Lonchura striata: one gene and its partners. Each later gene encodes a partner of the first gene's protein in a complex. Links are inferred from orthologs where the notes say so. Each region holds a gene or a part of one and is shown on either strand. Other genes may lie near its edges.

Region 1 (7,196 bases):
CCCAGCAGCACCTCCTCTGCAGCCCTGTCAGCGTCCCATGCACCCTCGAGTGGTGGCAGGGCCACAGCCAACACCTGCATGGTGCCACTGAGCTTTCTGAGCACTTGTGCCTTTGGTGGCAGCAAAAAAAGCCAATGCCTTCTCAGGGTTTGAAGGTCCAGGACACTAATAGCAATGCAGAGGACAATCGCTCCCACCCAGCTCTGCAGCATGCTCCCTCATCCCTTGCTAGAACTTGTTTTCCTACATGACATGCAGTGACTTCCCACACTTCCCTCACCTCTTCCTGACCAGCCTGGCCTTTGAACCAGCTGCCTCCAGCTGCCTGTATCACGAGGGAGACCTGGGCTACTGCCATAGATGAATGAGCCGACGAGTGAGGCTCCACATCCAGGGCAGGCATTTAGACGCCAGCTTCCCATGCCTCTCCCAGGGGCTGGGAAGAGCAAGAGGCAGCCCAGCCCAGGCTGATTCCACAACAAGCCCTAGAAAAACCTTCATGCTTCCCAGCCTTGGTCTCTATTTTTAAGGCACCTAAAAGGAGGGGGGCACAAATTACAAACTTGCTGGCAGGAGAGACGGTCCCTGGGCCTGATTCAGAACCGCCTACTCATTTTCCATAGGGATTGTGGACTCCATTGGTACCGCAAGGGTCTGGCTATGGGCTTGGCCTGCCTGTGTGTGCTGTGCTGACGTGAGGATGAGACAGCAGCCATTTTCCAGGCAGAGACAAGCGCACGTACACACAGGAGGCCAAGCCAGGAGCTGCACCAAATGCTTTGCTAACCTGAGGTACTGAATCCATCCTGTTATTCCCCTTAGCAATGCCTGCCTGTTTCCCCTTGGCCACCCAGGCAGTTATGGCAGCCAGGCTTTCCTGAGGATGACCGGTTTAGGAGACAGCTGTTACCAGAGTCATCAGCGAAGATGAGCAGAACACATGCCCTGGTACCTGCAGCGTCAGACGTGAATTTCAAGCATGCCAAAACTGCCGATGACTCAGGCAATGTGTTCGTGTGCCTGAAAAGCCACAGAGCTCAGCTGTCCAGCTATTCATGTACCTGCATTTGATCAGCAGCTGTTTGTTTGGGCTTTTTGTCTTCTTTCCCTGGAAGCTTGAGTTTTAAACATGCATTCCACACTCAATTCAGCTCATCATTTCCATCCTCTTCGCTTACTAAATGACCTACTTTCTCCCCCGTAGCACACAGAAAGCGCTGGTTTGGGCTCCCTTCAGCAGATTCATTCCTGCCTCTACATCTGTGACTGCAAAAGCTTTGTTCTTGATTGTTTTGTCTCAGGCCTTTGAGCACAGGTTTTCTAAAGAGCAACCTGTCACACCAATGATACCTTAGTCCATCCTTCCCCTTAGACTGTGCTCAGTTCTCCCCACACCCATGCACTGTGACCTCCTTAATTCAGTCACTTGTGCTCAGCAAGTGGTTTAGGCACCCAGCAGTAATGCTGCTTCTGCCATGTCACCCACCCAGGCTTCACAGCCCACACCGAGCTGACAGCCTGCTCTGCTGCTCCTGCTGGGCCCTGGCTCATCTGTCTCTCCTCTGCTGGCTCCTTTCTTTGCCTGTGCTGAGCCTGAGCAGCTCGCTTTGCTTACCCAACTCTTGCAGATGAGTCCAATTACTAGAGTTCAGCAAACTGATTCCCCTCCCTGGCATTTTATCCAGCCCACTTATCCACTGAGAGTTTCTAATCCAAACAGCCCTCCCAGCACACGATGTTCCAGTGCTCCCAGGCTCTACCCAGCCTCTGTCCTGCCTTGTCCTCCCTCACATGAGCACTTGGGGGATGACATTCAGCCCCCAGGGATGCAGAATTCCCTGGGCAGAGGGAAGCAGCGTCTCCAGCAGTCAGCCCTGATGGTACAGAGCAGGATGCCATCCTGGCTAGGCTGGCAGCTCTCCAAGGAGGTGAGACAGTTTCAGCCCCTCTGCAGGTCCATAAAACGTGCTGCCATGCTCGGCTGGCCAGCTCATTCCCTGCTCAGCTCTTCTGTGCACATAACCAGCACTGTGTGCAGCTGTGTCAACCTCCTTGCTTGCTTGTGCACCAGCTGGGAAGCTGCAGCCACCACCTCTGCCCAGGGTACAGGGGGAAAGAAGGAGGGTGGGCTGTGCAGGAGGCAGTTCCTTGTGGCTGTGGGGTGCTGATCCATAACACCCAGCAGCTGTGGACCAGCAGCTGAGACTCCTTCCAGCTGCACAGGGCTGCACCTCACCACCCCCCATCGCTTCTGCCACAGTGCCACAGCCTGCAAGGCAGTGGGAATTTAGAAGAGTGCACCAGGGCACCAACATGCATCTTCCCTTCCCCACTTGCCCTACACTCCCTGTGCTGTTTTTGCTGCCTGTCCTCGCTGCCCATCCTCCTCCTCAATGCCTTCTTTTCAGTCCTGCTGGGCAGTTCCTGTCTAACTCATTGGGTCCTGACAGCAGCAGCTGGCTACTGACGTTGGCTGTCTCGTAGGCATGGTCCCTCTGAGCAGCCTGGGGTTTGCCTCGCAGCTCTCCAGAGAGCCCCAGGTTTTGGCTCAGCTCAGCTCTGCAGAGCTAACGGCTCCCGAAATCCCCATTCAGAAGCTTTCATTCATGAAACACAGGGCACCAGACCAAGTGCAGGACTCTGTCCCTCAAGGGACACCAGACTGCCAGCTGCCTGAACTAGCTGTGGCAGCAGTGCCCGGCAGAAAGTGCTGCAGGGAAAAGAACAGAAACAGCACAAACGGGAAAAGCTCTGCTGGCTGGCCAAGCGCTGGGAAAAACCGGCCCTGCAATAGTTACTGGGACCAAAGCAGGGAATGTAAACAGCCAAGCATCCACAAGGAGGTCATAACCTCAGAGCCTGGTTTCCCTTCCTCTTCTCCATCCTGTCTAATCTCCAAGAGCTGCTCTGTTTACTAGCAAGATAAGTAAACAAACAAAGGAAAGCTACAATGCAGTGATTTTTATTTTTCTGGCCAATCCACAGGTCCCAGTTCCTGGGTGCACATATGGGAGCTGTTTCTGCACACCAAGGCAGCTGGCACATGGCACTGCAGGACCAGCAGCAGGCAGCTGATGGGCACAGGCAGCCTCCCCAGCCCTGCCTGTAAGTTTGCAGAGGGGCAAAGGGGGAATGGGGTTTCCATGCACAAATGCAGAGCTGTGCAGAACTTGCCCCACGGAGCCTCTGATTTACACACTCTGGAAGAAAACATACACCTAAATCTGGGGAGAAGGAGGAGACAAGGCAGCAGGGAACCAGGACATGCCCAGTTGGCACAGTGGGGACCAACACAATGGGGCCAATAGCTGGGCAAACCCTGTCACCTTCTACAGATTTTCTCCAGGGGCAAAGGAGGGGATAAACTCATCATGGAATGAAACTCTGACTTTTGTCCAGGGCTGCAACACCCCCCGAGCACATCCAGCCAAACTCAGATGTGTGACCTTTTGCCAGGCGTTGGAGGGATAGGGCAAGCTTCCTTCCCAGGCTGCTGGGCTCTCCGGCTTCCAGGCACACAGGGGCACTTGAGGAAGCAGGAGGAGAAGAGGCATGGAAGGACTCTCAGTCCCCTGCACGCTTTGGGTGACAAATCACCTGCATTAATCACCCCATCAGAGCCAGCACAGCAGCTGTTGGTATTTTGCTGGCGACCCAGCAGTCCCGGGACAGAGAGCTCGCTGTAGGGCGAGTCCTAAGCTAACCAGACGAACGCAAAGATGTCATGAACATCCAAGGCTCTACAGGCCTCGGCATGAAGCAATCACTGAAAGCTTCCAGCATACGCCTGTTTGCTTTTATTTCCTGATCTCAAACAACAGGACACAGACCAGAGCGATAGAGTAGCACGGCAATGAGAATTATTCCATGGCTCCTGCCTGTTCCCTGGACACACTGCTCCAGGAACTAGACACAAAGGAGCTACATTCCTGCCTTATCCAGGGCCGGCTCTGGCTCTGCCAGCAAGAACAATGGGACTGCCAGGAACTGCGCCTTTCCCAGCCCGTTTGATTTGGCTCCTCGCAGGCGGCCACGGCCGCTCCAAAGCAAACGCGGCCATGGCGCCCGGCCCCGCCCGGCCGAGGCTCCGCCCACCACCGGGCGCGCCCCCATTGGCTGAGCGCCGCCGAGGGGCGGGCGCAGCTCGGCAGGCTCCGCCAATGGGACGGCGGGGGGGCGGAAGCGGAAGCGCGGCCGCCATGCCGGGCGCGGAGCGCGGCTCGGAGCTCTCGGAGCAGATCGAGGCCTTCGCGGCGCGGCTGCGGCGCGGCGGGGAGCGGCCGCGCTCCGAGGACACGGCGCGGCAGACGCTGTCGCTGCTGCGGAAGATCGTCGGGCACGGGCGATGGAGCCGGGCCGGTGAGAGCCGGGCGGCGGCGGGCGGACGCAGCGCTTTCCCCGGGCGGGCGCAGCTCCCCCAGCGCCGGGAGCGAGGCGGCGGCGGGGCCGCGGGAGGGCAGTTCCCCCCGGTGGCGGCTGTCGGGTGCAGAGGGATCCGGCGCAGGCCCCAGGCGGGGCTGGCGGGAGCTGGGGCCTCGCTGGCAGCGACCGGCGGATTCGCAGTGCCTGTCCTGCCGCGGCGGGGCCCTTCCCTGCCTGCTGTGCTCCTCACCTGAGGAGCTCCCCTGCTCCAGCCTTCCTCTCCCCTGAGCGGCGTCAGTCCGAGCACTGACCTCTCCAGCAGCACGTGGTTTCCTCTTTCAAAGGAAAGTCCAGATGCGCTGCTGATGGGCTTCCCTTGGGTCTGTGTTGTGTCCAAGCGTTTCCGACTGCAAAACCCACCAGTGGAACCGGCTGCTTTGTGAGAGGCTCTCTGCTCGCCCCTTCCTGGTGTTTCTTGGTGCTGTGGTCCTTGTGCTGGAGCAGCTGCTGGCCCTGGGATATTGAGAGGGGTGCTGGTTTGATGCTCACGTGGACTTGCTCTGGGCAGTGGTAACCAAGGCCCTCCCCTCTTCTAGGGGAGCTCATGGATCTGATCCGGACAGAGGGCCAGAGGATGACAGCAGCCCAGCCATCAGAGACAACAGTGGGCAACATGGTGCGACGGGTGCTGAAGGTCATTCGTGAGGAATATGGCCGGTAAGGTGCCCCTCTTTTTCCCTGTATCTCTCTGAAAACCCAGAACTGCCCTTTTAAGTTGCTTCTGTAATACTCCTTTAGTTTCCTTCACCTCCTTTCCCCACCTCTTCCAGAGAGGTATTCAGGGAGTTTAACACCAAAGGAAGCCCCGTTGATTCCACTGTGGGTGATGACATTTCCTCTTTAGAAACCACTTGGTGTATGTGCTGTGAGTGCATGAGAACAGTCTGTGCCCTGGCCTTGGGTTGTTCTCTCTGTCTGTGCTTAGGGGCGTGCATCCCACTGGAGCAGTAGCCTCGAGCCTGCTCCTTGTCTATGGACAGCAGTATTTGCACGTGTCTTAAGAAGGCATTTTCTGGTAGAGATTTGGGTGTTTTTCTGCCAAGACACCTATGGAAACTTTTTGGTGTGGCATGGTGTGCCTCCTGTGGGTGGCTTTCCTTCCTGTCTCTTCACATCCAGGTGTGCCACACTGTGGGGACAGTGCTCAGCCTGGCTGCAGCCCTGTGCTCCTTCCTGAGGCTGAAGTGGCCACTTCTCTCCACAGGCTTCACGGGCGCAGTGAGGAAAGTGACCAGCAAGAATCCCTGCACAAGCTCCTGACTTCTGGAGGACTGAGTGAAGATTTCAGAACCCCTTACCCCTCCCTCAGAGCTAATGTTATTGAAGCTATTAATGAAATGCTAATTGAGCTAGGTACGGATGGGTCTGAATTGCTCCTGAGTGATGATTCTTATGGAATGGGACTGATGCTTCCCTGTTCTCTAGGTGAAATAATAAGGATCTGGGAGGCTTAATCTGAAGGAACTAAGGGACCAAAGCCCTGCTGCTCCCAGGACTTAGTTTTAAGTCTCTCTGGCTTATGGGGAGAGGGGTAGATTGTGGAAGGAGCAATATGTAGGCCTGCACTCTTGGTCTTCTGGGAAGTCTTGAGTCCTGTGAAGAAGAGTGTAAAATCCCTGTGCACATATAACCTAACTCTTGTCACAAAGATACAATTTTCTTTCTCTGCAATTCTTGTGACAAATCAGGCATCTTTCTGAGGCCAAATTTGCCCCGCTATTGAACTACAAAACTGTTGAAGTTTTGTGGGTCTTGTGATTATCTGGAGTAGTGCTGACACAATCCACTCCCCTCACAATGGAGTTTTCAGTACAGCTATTTTTATATATAGTGAGAGTATAGCTAGGGAGCATGGAGCATTCAAGGGCAAGCTTCTTGGTTCCACTCCAGTGGCAAAAAGAATGGGGAGAAAAGCTGCGCCTGCTCTTCCAGTGCTAATAACTTTGTCTTAGTGAAAAATGATCTTGTTGGAGGACAGTCCTAGCAGCACAAGTGTTGCTGTTGCTGGCTGCTTTTACACCCACATCTTCCTTCTGTTACAGAGGGCACCACTGATAACATTGCTATGCAGGCACTGGAGCACATCCACTCCAATGAGGTGATCATGACCATTGGCTACTCACGCACTGTTGAAGCCTTCCTGAAGGAAGCAGCTCGCAAGCGGAAGTTCCAGGTCATCGTGGCAGAGTGTGCACCATTCTGCCAGGTAAGGCCTAGGCTGGCTGCAGCATATTGTTCTACGCATTCTTACTGAAATCTTGTGTCTGGAATCAAGATGAACATTATGGAAATTCCTCTGCAGTTGAGAAATTGGAGATTCAAGTGCCTCACTCAATATTATCCTACCCCAGCATCCTTGAGTTGAAGGGCTGTGTTCAGGTGTCATTATTTGGTATTTTTGCAGTTCAGACAAGAATTGAGTGCTGATACCTTTACAATTACACTGCAGGAGCTATGTTACAGGGAACCAATTGGATTCTCCCTCTTTTTAGGGTCATGAAATGGCTGTCCGACTGTCTAAAGAGAATATTGAAACTACTGTCATGAGTGATGCAGCTATTTTTGCTGTCATGTCTCGAGTCAATAAGGTAAGGAGGGCTCCACTGGAGGAGGGATTTCATAGCAGACGGAGTGCTTAGGCCTCTCAAATCAGCTGCAAGTCCCAGCAGTGATGGATGTGTCTCTTCACTGAAGACTCAAAATTGTAATAGTCCCTGTTCACTTCTAGGGTGGAGATTCAGTGTGAGCTCCAAGTCAGGATGATGACTGACTGA
Region 2 (6,981 bases), on another chromosome or scaffold:
TACAGCTGGGAGTCAGTTTTGTATTGTTGGGTTTTAGTTGTTTTTGGCTTTTCCTTTTCTGTTTACTACAGTGGTTTGTACTTCCATTTGAAGACATGAAATAATCTCCTGATTACTGATTTGAGGATGAAAATATTATACAATCACAGCCTTAGTCCTGAGTTGAAGAAAGAAACTGGCCCATCTATCTCATGGAGAAAGAGGCTCCACAGACATTTACAGAGCATTTACTATATTACTAGGTGAACAAACAGGTAAAAGGAGGTACCACTCCTTGCACCTCTGTAATTCCACCCATGTCAGGCTCAACAACAAACAACACTTCAAAAAGGAAAGGGTTGTTAAACACTGGAATGGACTTCCCAGAGAGGTGCTGGTGTCCCACCCCTAGAGGTGTTCAAGAAATGACTGGACGTGCCATGGTCTAGTTGACAAGGTGCTGATCAAAGGTTGGACTCTCTGATGTCAGAGCTCTTTTCCAACCTAACTGATTTGGTAAAAATGGTCTGTGTATGGTAGTGGTATATGCACCCCAATTTGGGAGCCCCTGTGATATCACAAAATCTCTCCCTTGTTTTACATCATGGAAAGGAAATAAAGGGCAAAACCTGAACTCTGAGAAATCATCTGCCTCATGCCCAAACTGGAATGAGTCACAAACATGTGTGTCCCAGCACAATTTCACCACACCTCAAATAAAGATTAAAGGGGGAAAAAAGCCAGTTTACCCCAAGTTACTTCCTATCATTTGCTCCTCCAAGAGGAGCAGCTGGGACAGCTCCCCAGCCCTCATTCAAGGAGGATCTCCTCAGGTGGGCTGCACTTTTCCACCTGCCAGGCTCCAGACGCACCATAGGAAAGCGGAATCGTTTCAGCCCCTGCGTCCTCTGGTAGTGAAGGACACGGTGTGTGGCACTGTCCATGGCAATAACAATGTCATCCTCCTTGCACCTGGCATGGTGGCCAGGCGAGGACTCCTTGAATATCATGGTCATCACTGACACATTCTTTTCCATCTTACGACGCAACCTGAGAAAGGAGGGCAGAACTATGAGAACACTCCTCAGAGAACTACAGACTGCAGTCTCAGCACACCAGGCAAGCATCCACTCTCCCAGCACCTACTTGTGCTCTTCCAGGGCTTTGGATATGTTGAAGTTGGACACCACGTCGCCGGTGACCAGGATGAAGTCGGAACGAACGAGGGACTTGGCATCCACGTCCCGCAGCACGTCACCAAGGGAGCGGTACAGGTCCGAGGTGACAAAGCGCACTGTGTTGGGAGACGTGTGCCGGCACCACTTGGATTTTCTGCAAGAAGGAAAAGATCCATCAGGAAGCCATAAAGAGGCTGTTCCCACAGACACACAGTGTCCCAGTGTGTGCCACACCTACAAGGGGTTACAAAGAGCAGCATCCTGTGACAGTGAGCCTGCTATTGCCGAGCTCAGGTACATTCAGAAGGGAAACTGAGGAGCTGTCCCACAACACTCAATCCTTTTAACACACTGCACAACCACCCTCCTACACAGCAGGGACAGTCTCTTCTGAGATATGCTGGGAGACCACTGCTGAAAGCGTGTCTCTTGCATAAGAATCAGTGAGGTCTTTTGAGGCTTGTTGGAGGGCAGATGAATACTTTCCATGATAAAACTAAAAAGAAGAAGAGAATTCTTACTGCAAATGCTCTTTTATTTCAGCTGACTTCCAACAGCAGAAAACAAAGGTTTCTTCCACTCCAGTTGCTGTAAGGAACTCCAAGGTATAATCAATTATGGCCACATTTGCCATAGGTAAAAGAGCCTGAAAAAAAAAAACAATACCAAAAAATCCATACAGATAGCTGAACAGCCAACATCAGCAACAGTCCCTTCCAACTTGGGGATTTAATGTCATCAATAGTACCAGAAACATAACACAAGTAACTGCTTCACCAGGTTTTATAAAAATCTTTTTGAGATGAACTAAACAGTAAGAACTAACTTGCAATTTTCTAGAGGTAGATCCTCAGTTCACAAAGGAAGGCATAAAAAAGTGAAGTTATCACTGAAAACTGTTCAAGAAGACTCAGATAAATGACAGACACTGGAAAAAAAAAAGTGCTGATTCCCTGACTTAGGCTTTGACTGCTTCAAGAAAAACCTGTCAGACATGAATGATGAAGCCAGAGGAATATGAGTGTCCAGAATTAAACAAGGGGAAAAAACCCTCAACCTAAAGTGAAGTAAGTACTCTCTTGACTTGAGATTCAACTCACACTTTTAAACTGAGTTACTGAGTCACACCTGAGTGATGGCATACCATTCCTTAATTCATTTTTGGTGCTGTTTCATTTCAGGCCGGAGCTCGCGTGTATAATTACAAGCACCACCAACACTTAATCAGCAAAGGAGGTGAGATAATTATTCAGACCTAAAGTCTCCAGAAACCTTTTATGTTCCTTTAACACAATCTTTGAGCTGGATAATTAAAGTACATCCCCATCCATTTTTCTGGCCATATCCTTTCACGCATTACAGCCGCAAAGAGCCAAGATTACGTTTTATTCCTTTATCAGAAACAAACCTATCCAAACCCGCTGCCAGCCGTGCACCAGCCACAGGCGAGGAGCCGACAGCGCAGCTCGCCACGCCATATGGAAAAGCGGTCAGCACCGACACAGCGACCGATGCTCGGACAGAAACTCCCACGGGCGAGAACCGCCGGAGCGCAGGAGGGCGGGAGAAGCCTCGCCCCCTCCCGGCCCAGCCCGGCCTCTCGCCGGATCCCTGCCCACCCCGGCCTCCCGGGGACAGTGCACACCGGACAGGCGGCCCCGGAGGCACCGGCGCGGCGCAGGCAGCAGCACCCAGAGGGGATTTCTCACCCGCGGCCGGTCCTTGGAGATGGGGAAAAAGCGGCGGTTGAAGCTGTCGGCGACCAGCACGGCCTGGAGCGGCGGCGGCGGCTCCTCCTGCGGGTCGGGGCCGCGGGCGGAGCCCCCGCCCGCCCCGCGCCGCGCGGTACCGCGGGCCGCCATCGCCGCACGCGGCCGCCGCCGCTTCCGCTTCCGCTCGCGACGGGAGCGGCAACGGGCGCCCGGCGGGGACACAACAGCGCGGGGCGGCGCGTCCCGGCGGGAGCGGGGCGGGAGCTGCGCCTTGCCGCTCCATCCTCTCCTTCCTCCTGGCGTCACCCCCAGGTGGCCCCGGGGTGTGTGACCCTGGTGGTGTCTGCTTTTGGGAGCAGAGATGTTTTCTGATACACTTCCTAGCAGCGATGTCTTTGTGCTGCGTTTCCAAATGTCCAGAGGCTCCTTCTGCAAAGGACAGCCGGGATGCGAAGCAGCCCGTCAGTGCACAGCTCGCACCTGCCATCAAAAAGCTGTCCCAAAACCCGCAGCCCCTGAGGGACCCCTCGGAGCCCGCTCAGAGACCCTTCCAGAGCGGATGGGAGGAAAGAAGACGTGGTTTCCGAGGACTGGGGTGGCATTTTTGTTCCCCTCAGCTTGGTGAGGCAGCTGTGGTGCTGCAGTGCTGGTGTCTGCCTGTCCCCCTGCTCGGACACTGCCGCTTCCATGGATCTCGCTTCCCTCGGCATTCCTGCCCCAGCCCAGGCTCCGTCCTCGCACGGCTCTGATGGTGCTTCCACACTGTCCTGGTCCTCAGAAGGGAATGGGCCATGTCCAGCCCTCAGCACAGAAAACCTGCTCTCAGCTGGGTCCTCGGAAGGGAATGGGCCATGTCCAGCCCTCAGCACAGAAAACCTGCCCTCAGCTGGGTCCTCGGAAGGGAATGGGCCATGTCCAGCCCTCAGCACAGAAAACCTGCCCTCAGCTGGGTCCTCGGAAGGGAATGGGCCATGTCCAGCCCTCAGCACAGAAAACCTGCCCTCAGCTGGGTCCTCGGAAGGGAATGGGCCATGTCCAGCCCTCAGCACAGAAACCTGCCCTCAGCTGAGTCCTTCTGCCTCTCCCTGCCGCCGGTCCCACGGCTGCAGGATTTACCTGGCACAGTTCTCACAGCACCGCCACCTGCTCTTTGTCACCGAGGAAATCACTGTGTGATCACCCTGCATTCAAAACCAGGAAAACAGGCTGAAAGATCTCCCTAGGGAGCTCCTAACTGGATGGCAGCAGAAGGGCTATGGAGAGTCCTGAGCCTGGCAGCAGGACAGCCCATTCCAGTGCTGGCTGCTGCAGGACCTGCTGCTCGCTGCCTTGCCCCGTTGTCTGCCCCTCTCCACATGGGACAGGCATTCACAGCCCCTGCTCTGTCACCTCACCAGTCTCTCTTGCTGCCCCTCAGTCCCCACAAATTGACCCAAATTGACCCCTGCTCTGGTCCTCGCTGCTGTTATCTGCTACTGAGTGAGAAGCCAAAAACTTAAAGAGTCTCAAATTCAACTGTGGTCTGAGAGAAGCACAGGGCATTTGCACCCCCACCTCTGTGGCAGGGCCTCTCCCAAGGGCGGAAGGTGGTACATATTTATCAGCCCAACGCACACAGTATGGCAGAGGGAGGGAAATTAAGGGAGGCACCACTTAACCACAGACCTACAGCACTGCTCCAATGTTGTGGGCAGTGCTGTACACCCCTCGTGGCATTGGCATTGCAGAGAGGTCTTTAGTAAAGGGAAGAAAGCTGTAACAGGCAACATGCCTAATTCCTCCCCTCTGATTGGACTGCAGGTCCAGGACTGATGTAGAAAACAAAGTCTCTGTCTCCTGAAGGACTCTGCAGCATTGGGCATTCCCTGAAATTTCCCTGAGCAGTTAAAATGTTCAGGCATCACTTACGTAGTGCCATCTGTGCCCAGTGATTTGTGACCGAGCCCTTGCTGTGCCACAGCTTGCAGTTGAGTTGCTTGACCTTAGCTACTGGTCTGGAAAAAAGCAGCAAGGATGGACACAGCAAGAAAGTAGAAAGGAGCTGCCCGTGGGAAGTAAATCATCCTCATCCTTTTCAAAAATAGGTATCTGCATACCCTTGGGAATTCTGTTGCCCTGGCAGAAGAACTAACTCCAGAACAAAAGCTCCCAGATGGTTTCAGTCCAGGGGTTGCAGCTTGAGGAGTGATCCAAGAGGTGGATTTGTCATTGCCTGAGGGCAGGACGAAATCTTAGTTCCTGTCTGTGTGGAACTAAGTGCATAAACAGCACCAGAAATCAGGTCTGATCCAGCCTGCACAGCCACTGCGTGTGTTTGGACCGGGCAGAGAGGTTGACAGGGGAATCAGCAGATTATCTGGCTAATTACATCCTGTTCTCTCCAAATGAGGTGAGTTTCCAAGACGTTGCCCTGGTAAATTGGCAAGAACAGGGGAAGACAAATCAAGGTAATTGCTAATGAACTAAACTCCAAATCAGCTTGATAAATATTCCTCAGGCTTTGCAGACATGTTTTCCTTTGGTCTCACCAGGAACTTGCAGTCCAGCAACATCAAGGCCAAATATTTTCTGAAAGCAATGTAATTCCAGGGGAGCTTTTAAAACTGAAATTACCTAATGAAAATTGAGATGAGATGGAACTGGGTTTGACTGGAGGTCTATCAATCCCAGTATCCCACAGTGCCTGGGCAGGGTGGTGGGAAGACATAGAGACTGTGGGACTTTTCCTTGCTGCCTCATCCTTGGATATCCCAGGACAGAGCACACACCCTGGACAGGGCAGCATACACTGACTCTGGGAATGATGAGCCTGGTGGGGATACTCTGCTTTCTGAGACATCTTTCTGGTCCCTGTTCCTGCATTTTAAACCCTTTTCTCTTTTCATTTATTTTCTCTGAGCATTTGGTTATTTCCTGACTGTTCCCTCTGCAGACACAATGCCCCATGAGGCATCTCCAATGGTAGCTTCTGGTTTAGTCCTATCTTAGACAGCTTTGGGGCCCCACAGGGGCTGAGTGGAATCAGGGGCTCCCCAGAGTGGTGAGACTTGCAAAGAGGAGGGTCACAGGAACTCTGCATGGAAGAACCATGTACCTAACACAAGGCTTATTTCCCCTCACATGTCCTGCCTGGTGGCCAGCAGCTCTGATGCCCTTAGAGCATCCTTCTGTGCCTTCAGTAGAGCTATGAGACTTCTGTCATCACAGCTCCAGATCAGGGATGCAATTAGTGCCTAAACTCAGCTCTTCTTGGCCCACTGCATGTTGGCAAGGAGCCTGGTTTTCCTTGGGCTATTCCCACACAGTGGCAGAGGTGACAGGGGCAGGCCATGAACCCTGGCACATGGAACCCTGGGCACTCAGGGCAGTGTCCTGGACTTACCTAGGACAGCTGACACTCACTTGGCAGGTCTAAAGAGGGGTCTGCCTGCCCCAAGCACCTGTGGAGGAGCTCCTGCCCTTCAGAGAGGAGGTAGGCAATGGCCAGGACATGCACATTGTCCAGTCCTCTTATACATCTGAATGACTCTGTGCCTGACACAACATTTACCTGAGCACTGAACTAAATTCTGCAGGGAAAAATAAAACTGTAGACCACAAGTAAGTCAGTAATCATGAAAGCCAGACATATTCTACACCCCAACCCTTCTGCCTCCCTCCTTCCCATGCCCTGGGCTCTGGCCAAGCAGGGACAGCAGGGATACTGACTCACAGGATATTCATCTACTCTTTGCTCATTTGGGCTTCTCCTGTTCTCCTCAGCAGAGAGTTTCTGCCAGATTAACTGCTGGGCCTCGTCCGCTCCTGGATCCTGGGTTGACAGACTTGAGAAGGTGAACCAGACATGAGGCCACCCTGTCTGCATCCCCCTGTGTTTCCAGTTCCTCTGGGGTAGTGCTTGCAGAACTCCTTGGTATTCCTTTCCACCACATGTGCCCAGCATCCCCCACCTGCTAACAGGAAGAATGCATTACTGCTGCCTGAGCTCTGGGCTACCACAACTCCCTGTACTCAGCTGCTGCTCTACCAGCTGGGACATGCAAGGAGACAGGAGCTGCTCTCAGCACTTCCCCAGCTGCCAGAATATGGAGACAGGGCAGGAGGGGTCCATT
Region 3 (7,004 bases), about 9.6 Mb from region 1:
AAAGCCCAGCAATCCTCACCTGAAATCTCCTGCTGTGAACTTCGCCTCAGCAAGTGAAAAGGCAGCTTCTCTCATCACCTCACCCATCAGCATCTTAGTCTGTTTAAAAAAGAAAAGGCAACAAATACAAGGCACATTGTTACTACTTTTCCAGGATAAAAACCTAGCAGCTTAAAGAGAAGAAATTGAAGAGAGTGAGAAAGTCCTATATGCATAGCTTACTCTCAAACTGGTAATTGTAATTCTCAGGTGACTGGCAAAAATAGAGAAATATTTCAGCTGTTTCACATTGTAGAATTCATAGAAAAAGCAAAATATTTGCCTTACTCATTAAATTCTATTACATGGGGGTTAAATAAGAACAATAAAGTGGCTCAGCAGGAAAATATTCTTGTTTCACATTGTATGAAATACTATGAGACAGCTGAAGGTTGTTTTCAGCATACAAATGTATACAGCTTTGTGAAGCTGCACTCTCCTCCCACTCTGTTTTTTCCCAATTTTTACAGATTTTTAGCCCTTGTAGCTAAAAACTATTGAGAAACACCAGCCTTTGTGTTTTAGACAATGTATAGGAAGCCATGACATGATGAGATCTTGTCTACAGTGTGGCAACAAAGGACCACAGCTAACCACGGACTCTGCAGCAGCTGCAGCAAAAACAGTACAACTAAACCCATCTGATAGGGCAGAACAGAACAACACAGAGTAGGCTCCACTGACTATCTCAGATTTGTCATCCATGTTACAAAGAAAGATGCAAGATGTTACAAAGAAGAAACTTTATAGATATGCAGTATTCCCTCAAGCCAGAAAAAGCAATAAAAATGGGGCTACAGAACATTTTAATACCCAAAGTATTTGGCAGTATCAGAGCAAATTCCCTGTAACATAGAAGAGATGATCGGGAACTTGTAAAACAAAAGAGAGCAGAGGCTAAGACTGTCTGGAAAGAGGGGAAGAATATTAACTCTTCCAAGTTTCTGTATCATTGCAGCCACAGAAACATAATGCTGCTCATGTGTTCTCAGTAGTCTCACTTACAAAAAACAGGTTAGCCAGAAAGTCATCCTATATTCCAGCCTATCTAATGAAGTTAGGAGAATAGGAATGCACAACAGACAGAACATTAAAGTGAGCCAAACAAAGGAAAATTCTAATTTACCTACCTCAATAATTTTCTTAAGGATCTGTCTGAATCGAAGTGTCAAAGCATCAGATTTTTTCTTCAAGAGGTTACGACCTGTTTGGGCTCCTTTCAAACGAGCCTTCATGATGGTCTGAGCCCTGGTAAGCAGAGGAATAAAGAAAAAGCATCCTGCATCATCTGAAGAGATTAGGAAAAAACTTAGGTGAAGTTTTCTGACATGTATATGACTGAAATTATGAAGTAACCATGAAACACCATTGCAGTAAAACAGGATGGCCACTTCAGGACAGAATTTTAGATTCCCATTTAAAATCAAGGGAATTTATATTTATCTCCATCATCAATGAGAACTACAAGGTTATTATCTGTGAAGTCAAAACTCATGGAAAATTGACAAGACATCTTTCAGTGCTTCTATAATAGGAAATAAGAGTTTTCATTTTTCTTCATGACTTGGAAGTACCAGAAATCAAACTACTCCAAATACCCAGTGTCGCTGTGACATGGGTATTGCTTTTAAGTTCTTTTACTGCCATGCCACCTTCTCAAAATCAGACAAAGCAAATTCTTCATGTGGTCATAACAGTTGATGCCATGTTTTGATTTTACAGAGCAAGAAGATGCAGCAGTTGTACATTCTGATTTTCCTTATGCTTATATGCTGCATAGGAGATTTACAAGCTATCAAAGACAATCAAAAGCAGCGACAATTTAAAGGGATATTAGTGAGTTAGCTGTAGCTTTCACCTTTACATCCAGTAGCACACTTACAGGTTTCTTGTGTGAAATTAGAAACTGCACTGCTTTCTACATGCAACCACTGTGCACAAAGGACACCGCTTAAGTCAAGTTCTTACACACTTCCTCTCTGACCTTGGAAAAAATAAGTATAATTAAGATTCTTTCTACACAGTGGAATCCATTACTGACCACATCTACTAGTATATGATGAGAGTAGCTCCATTAACATCTACCAAATACGTCTAACTGAAAACCATTAATACTTTATGAATGTTTATGATTTAAAAAAAAATCAGAGAGTAAAAAGGGAACTTTCCCAACAAGCAGGTGGCTGTCATCACCTTGAACTAACTTGTTTGCTCTGTTCACCACCTGCCAGAGACTGGCTCGTCTTCTAGTTCAAGCAAGACCTCACTTGCTCTGAGAGTGCAATAAACAAAGTTTTGTTTACTCTCAAGGAAACTGAGCAACTTCTGGAATTGAAGACATCCAGCACAGAAGAAGAAGCTCATACCAGCAAGCTACTTTATAACAACAACAAAAAAAACCCCAAACCAACATAAAAGGTAAACCTTGTGAAATTCTCTTCTGTCAGGTAACAAAATTATTTGTTGCAGACACAGGTCATCTTTCTTTTGCCATTCTAACTTATATTTCTTTGGGAACAGCACCCACATTATTGCCTATCACCTCGTTTAAAAACGGGCTTGTAAATATTAGGTCTTTGTATATGACCACCCTCATGCCACAGTGACACATCACCTCACAAAACCAAGTACCTTTCAAAAGTGATTGAAGTGCCCCCTCCTTGCACACCTAAACTGAATGGAAAAATGCACTACCAAAGAGCAGGAGTGAGGCCAGATGACTTAATGTATGCAATAATTCATTCCCGTGTATGCAATAGTTTATTTCTAAACTAAATTTCAAAACAAAACCTTTGCCATGTAATGTATTAATCTTTCCATATAAACTGTTACTTTTTATGTCCTGAGCTCCTACAGAGTGAATAATTATTGTTTTATGTTTGAGGGTTTTTGTCCTTCAAGGCATCCTTTTTATTATAAAGATTATGTGCAGGCAACCCATTTTTATGCAAGAAGATTTAAAATAGCCTTTCACCTTAAAGCAAAGTCTGTCTGTCCTGGAGGGTTCTCAAGAGAAACTAAACAGTGTTATTAAACCAGCAATTTTATTCAATTGTTTGCTTTAGTTCCAGTGTTGTTGGCAGCTTTCTAAGCTTTCTCAGGAGACATCTGATTTCATGACAAACAGTTTGCTGTCTGGATCTGGAAAATTACCTGACTGTCCACTACACTGGGAGCACTTTACTTCCTTCTTTTAACGCGCTATGGCCAAGCTCTCGTGAAGCAGTATCCTCTGTTGCAAAGTTATGGGAAGCTGTCGTTCCGTTTGTCCATTTTTCCTACACATACATTCCACAAATTGTTCTTTTTTAGGTAAGGCTTGCGTAATCACATTATTTTAAATATCACACCGGCATCTCGGTGCCGGGCCCTGCCACGTCCCTCTAAGGCCAGACAGAGCTGACGCGGAGCCGGGAAGCAGAAGCTGAAGGTTGGGATCAGGGGCCCTCGGCGGCCCGTCACAGAACCGGGGGAGCCCCGCTCGGCGGCGCGGGGCAACCGGCGGAACGACTGCGAGCGCCGAGCCCCGGTGAGGAGCCCCGAGCGCCCCGAGAGCCGCCGCTCCCGCCGCCTCGGCAACGGCACGGACCCCCGCGCTCCCCCCGGGCGCTGTCCCGACCCGTCCCGGCGGACACTCACATCCGCGAGGGGAAGATCTCGATGCGGTCCTTGGCCGACATGGCTGCGGCGGGGCCGGCTCGGGCTGTCTCCGCTGTCACCGCCGGGGCCGGGGCCGGGACCGGCCGTCGCCGCCGCCCTCACGTGACTCGGCCCCGCCCCCGCGCGAGGCGGGGCCCGCGCGGCGCCGGGCGCGCCGCTCGCGTCACGTGTCTGCCGGGGCCGGCAGGAGGAGACGCGATTGGCTGAGCCCGAGGCTCCGGCCTCCCGCCGCCAGGGGGCGCTCGAGGGGATCGCGACCCCTCTCTCCTCCTCGGCGTCGCGGCAGCTGCGCAGTGGGGCGGCGGCGGCGGGGCGCACGCGGCGGCACGAGCGGAGCCAGCGCGGGACTGGGGTGCGCGAGCGCAGCGCGAGACCGCCCGGGCCGCAGCCAGGTACCGCCGCGCGCGCGGCCCGGCCCTCGCGCGGGGCCCGCGGCCGGGGGGGCCGCGCCGCTCGGGGCCGCGCCCGGCAGCCCGCGGGGCCGCGCCGCTCGGGGCCGCGCCGCTCGGGGCCGCGCGCGGGGCCGCGCCCGGTGCCGCGGGGCCGCGCCCGGTGCCGCGGCGCCCGCGGGCAGCGGCCGTGCCGGCGGCGCCGCTCGGGACCGGCTCCGTTTCTGCGGACGCCGTGCGGCCGAGAGGGCCTCGGCTGAGGCGTGTCCAGCCGCGGGAAAAGCCTCTGAACGCCAGCTTCGGCGCGGTGGGCCTAGTGCTGCTCCTGGGGAACAGAAGGCCAAAATAAAAACCTTGTGGCTGGGGAGAGGAGCGGAGTGGTGTTTGTCCGCTCTTGCTCGCTGTGGCTCGGGTTTGTCGCTTTGCAGTGCGGCTTGCTTGTGTACCCCAGAAGTACCGGCAGGATTGAGCAGAGCTGCATTCAGTAGACTAGAAAGCCAGACCGTAAAGTTTTCCTTTTTAACCTTGGAGTTCTTTGTTCAGCTTCAGCTTACATAAGTTATACAAAACATTCAGAGTGTTTTTATAATGTTTTACTAGTCTGTATTTCCCCTTTCTACAAGTTAAGAATTAAAATAAGGGTGGAAATGGTCTTCTTAATTGTGTGGACATGTGTACATAGCATTTGTCATTATCTGTCTACTCTGATTTTAAATTTTCTTATAGCTAGGAAGCATGAGCAAGGCTGTAAAGATCATGACTTAAAACTGGTGACTAAAATCTTCTGAAGGAGTGAAGCATTTGACTTGGCATCTTGGGCTGCTGCTGGAAAAATTTCCTGTAGAAAAATTTCTGTGTGAAACTTCAAGGCATAGACAACTGAACTAACTTAGACAAAACTTAGACTTTTAAGAGCATATGGATTCATTATCAAAAAAATAAAGCAGTTTAAGTATTCCTTCTTATCACTGCTTGATTATGAAATATTGCTTTTGCCTTTTTTTTTTTTTAATGTATAATGAAGGAATTCTGGTTTTTTTCATGTGACTTTGTTGGGTTTTTTCCCCTCCTGACTGTTGGGGGGCACTTTTTTCCCTTTTCAGTACTTCAGGCCAGGCTAGTTCTGTTCTAAATAATGCCTTTGCTTTCTTTGCTGACAATTGGCCTTTGGAACAGGTCTTGCAGGATTACTCTGAACATCTTGTGCTGAGTTTAAAAGTCATCTAGAGTCTGCTTCTCCTCAGTACTACAGAAACTTCCATCTTGCCTCTTATTTTGTTAGCCTCACATGCTGTCTTATGTGCATACAAAATGCTTCATGAGCACTGCATGCTTCTCTCTTATGTCCTCTTGCTCTTACAGTCCAGTTGATGATCCTTGAGAGTCCCAACTCAGAACTCTGTGAAAATGTTACACTCTGATGACTTTACATGCACGTGAGGTGTGCAGTCCCACCTTTCCACCACTCGAAGAAGCCTTTCCAGTGTTCTGTGTATAGGCAGTATGACAGGTGAAGTGTGTAATGAAGTCTGGGTAGCAAAGCTTTTTCTCCATTAAGGCAAAAAAATAGCATCTTAGGAAATGGTTGTGGTAATAGTATTTGAAATACAAGATAATTTATTACTTAATTTGTACTAAACCCTAAGTACAACCTTATCCTAATTGCTACTTTTTCTGCCACTGTTCTTCTCTATTGTCCCCAGTCTTTGCTGGTCTATTGCCGTGTTTGTAGGAGGAGGCAGTGATGTACTGTGAAATAAAACCTTTGATTTTTCTGCTTGAATTCCAGAATGCCGGGACTAAGCTGTAGATTCTACCAACATAAATTCCCCGAGGTGGAAGATGTAGTGATGGTCAACGTTCGGTCCATTGCTGAAATGGGAGCCTATGTCAGCCTGCTGGAGTACAACAACATCGAAGGCATGATCCTCCTCAGCGAGCTGTCCAGGAGACGCATCCGGTCCATAAACAAACTCATCCGCATCGGCAGGAACGAGTGCGTCGTGGTCATAAGAGTTGACAAAGAGAAAGGTATCTGGGCCTGTGGTGGGCTCTGTCAAGATTGAATTTGTAGACAGAAATGCAGATGAACTAAGCAGGTGTTTGTGGGTTTTGCTAGGACTACTTTTTTTGAGCATTGAAATAAAATAGACCATCACTGACCATACCTATGATTGTTCTTCTATTCCTCTTTGTTCTTTGGGAATTGGGTTAATGAAAGCAAATAAACATCAGTAAAAATTTAAGTGGGTCCTCACCAGATCAGTCACTGGACTATAGTGAAGTGAAATTTTCTTTTGGTATCTGTGTAGATTTTCTAAGTCAGCTGAAGAGAAGCATCATTTGCTGTAGATTCCTAGATGCTAAGCATTTAGTGCTGACAATCCATCCTGTTTGTTAACAAGTCTCAAACCTTATTGATAAAGGTGATGACAAGTATGTAATCATTGTGAATTCTGTAGGGAAAAGTTAGAATTGTACAGGTAGTTTTAGTTTTCCTGTCTTTTGAACATTTGAATCTTTGAAGGTTTTTTAAATGTAATTTCTATTGAGAAAATTTCAGATTTTGATAATATTATTCCACGCAATCTCTAAAATCTCTGTCCAGATGTACAGAAATAATAAACACTGAGCATGTCTCCTAGAAATATTAACTGTTGGTATGATGTTTCTCAAGTTAAATGCTCTTTTAGAATACTTCTGAGACTGCAGTTAACTCTGAGAATAAATAATGAATGACAGGATAAGGAAAAGCAGAGACAAAAGAAGGGCAAGAATAAACTTATTGCAGATAAATCTGAAGTGAAATAAGTTTCCCAACATCTCTAATGAAATTATACTTTTACTAATTAATCTTGTTTTCATATTAACAGAGAAACACATCTGGAATTCATCTAGTGGTCTTTTATTGAACTT

Evidence for each region. The genes of interacting proteins can lie anywhere in the genome.
Region 2: the proteins of EIF2B2 (region 1) and EIF2B5 are in contact, whole or in part, in a cryo-EM structure (PDB 6O81), measured with the Homo sapiens proteins. The link is inferred for Lonchura striata from reciprocal best matches to the Homo sapiens genes EIF2B2 and EIF2B5. Residues at the interface, in NP_055054.1 of Homo sapiens: Ser12, Glu13, Glu16, Glu20, Lys23, Arg24, Asp283, Lys287, Phe288, Val289, Ala290, Pro291, Glu292, Glu293, Leu295, Pro296, Phe297, Thr298, Gly300, Asp301, Leu303, Glu304, Val306, Ser307, His309; in NP_003898.2 of Homo sapiens: Glu81, Thr84, Ala85, Thr115, Leu117, Lys186, Glu187, Ser188, Ser189, Ser191, His192, Pro193, Thr194, Leu245, Lys294, Glu295, Tyr296, Asp312, Arg315, Arg316, Trp317, Tyr319, Pro320, Ala325, Asn326, Asp329, Thr336, His337, His340, Asn341.
Region 3: the proteins of EIF2B2 (region 1) and EIF2S1 are in contact, whole or in part, in a cryo-EM structure (PDB 6K71), measured with the Homo sapiens proteins. The link is inferred for Lonchura striata from reciprocal best matches to the Homo sapiens genes EIF2B2 and EIF2S1. Residues at the interface, in NP_055054.1 of Homo sapiens: Glu92, Arg95, Gln128, Ser131, Asn132, Glu135, Ala136, Glu139, Val142, Glu143, Glu145, Glu149, Asn150; in NP_004085.1 of Homo sapiens: Leu51, Ser52, Arg53, Arg54, Ile56, Asn60, Lys61, Leu62, Arg64, Arg67, Lys87, Ser91.

What each region holds. Positions count from the first base shown.
Region 1 is NC_134608.1:23,212,798-23,219,993, reverse strand, and holds the start of EIF2B2 (translation initiation factor eIF2B subunit beta), read left to right. Parts: upstream 1-4,179; 5' UTR 4,180-4,199; coding exon 4,200-4,359; intron 4,360-4,958; coding exon 4,959-5,079; intron 5,080-5,626; coding exon 5,627-5,775; intron 5,776-6,464; coding exon 6,465-6,628; intron 6,629-6,914; coding exon 6,915-7,010; intron 7,011-7,196. UniProt on the Homo sapiens protein: Acts as a component of the translation initiation factor 2B (eIF2B) complex, which catalyzes the exchange of GDP for GTP on eukaryotic initiation factor 2 (eIF2) gamma subunit.
Region 2 is NC_134612.1:18,704,384-18,711,364, reverse strand, and holds the start of EIF2B5 (translation initiation factor eIF2B subunit epsilon), read right to left. Parts: upstream 3,020-6,981; coding exon 2,867-3,019; intron 1,804-2,866; coding exon 1,679-1,803; intron 1,312-1,678; coding exon 1,126-1,311; intron 1,030-1,125; coding exon 852-1,029; intron 1-851. UniProt on the Homo sapiens protein: Acts as a component of the translation initiation factor 2B (eIF2B) complex, which catalyzes the exchange of GDP for GTP on eukaryotic initiation factor 2 (eIF2) gamma subunit.
Region 3 is NC_134608.1:32,778,473-32,785,476, forward strand, and holds the start of EIF2S1 (eukaryotic translation initiation factor 2 subunit 1), read left to right. Parts: upstream 1-3,985; 5' UTR 3,986-4,091; intron 4,092-5,877; 5' UTR 5,878-5,878; coding exon 5,879-6,119; intron 6,120-7,004. Other genes in the region: ATP6V1D (V-type proton ATPase subunit D), read right to left, coding at 20-99, 1,170-1,287, 3,679-3,719. UniProt on the Homo sapiens protein: Member of the eIF2 complex that functions in the early steps of protein synthesis by forming a ternary complex with GTP and initiator tRNA. This complex binds to a 40S ribosomal subunit, followed by mRNA binding to form a 43S pre-initiation complex (43S PIC).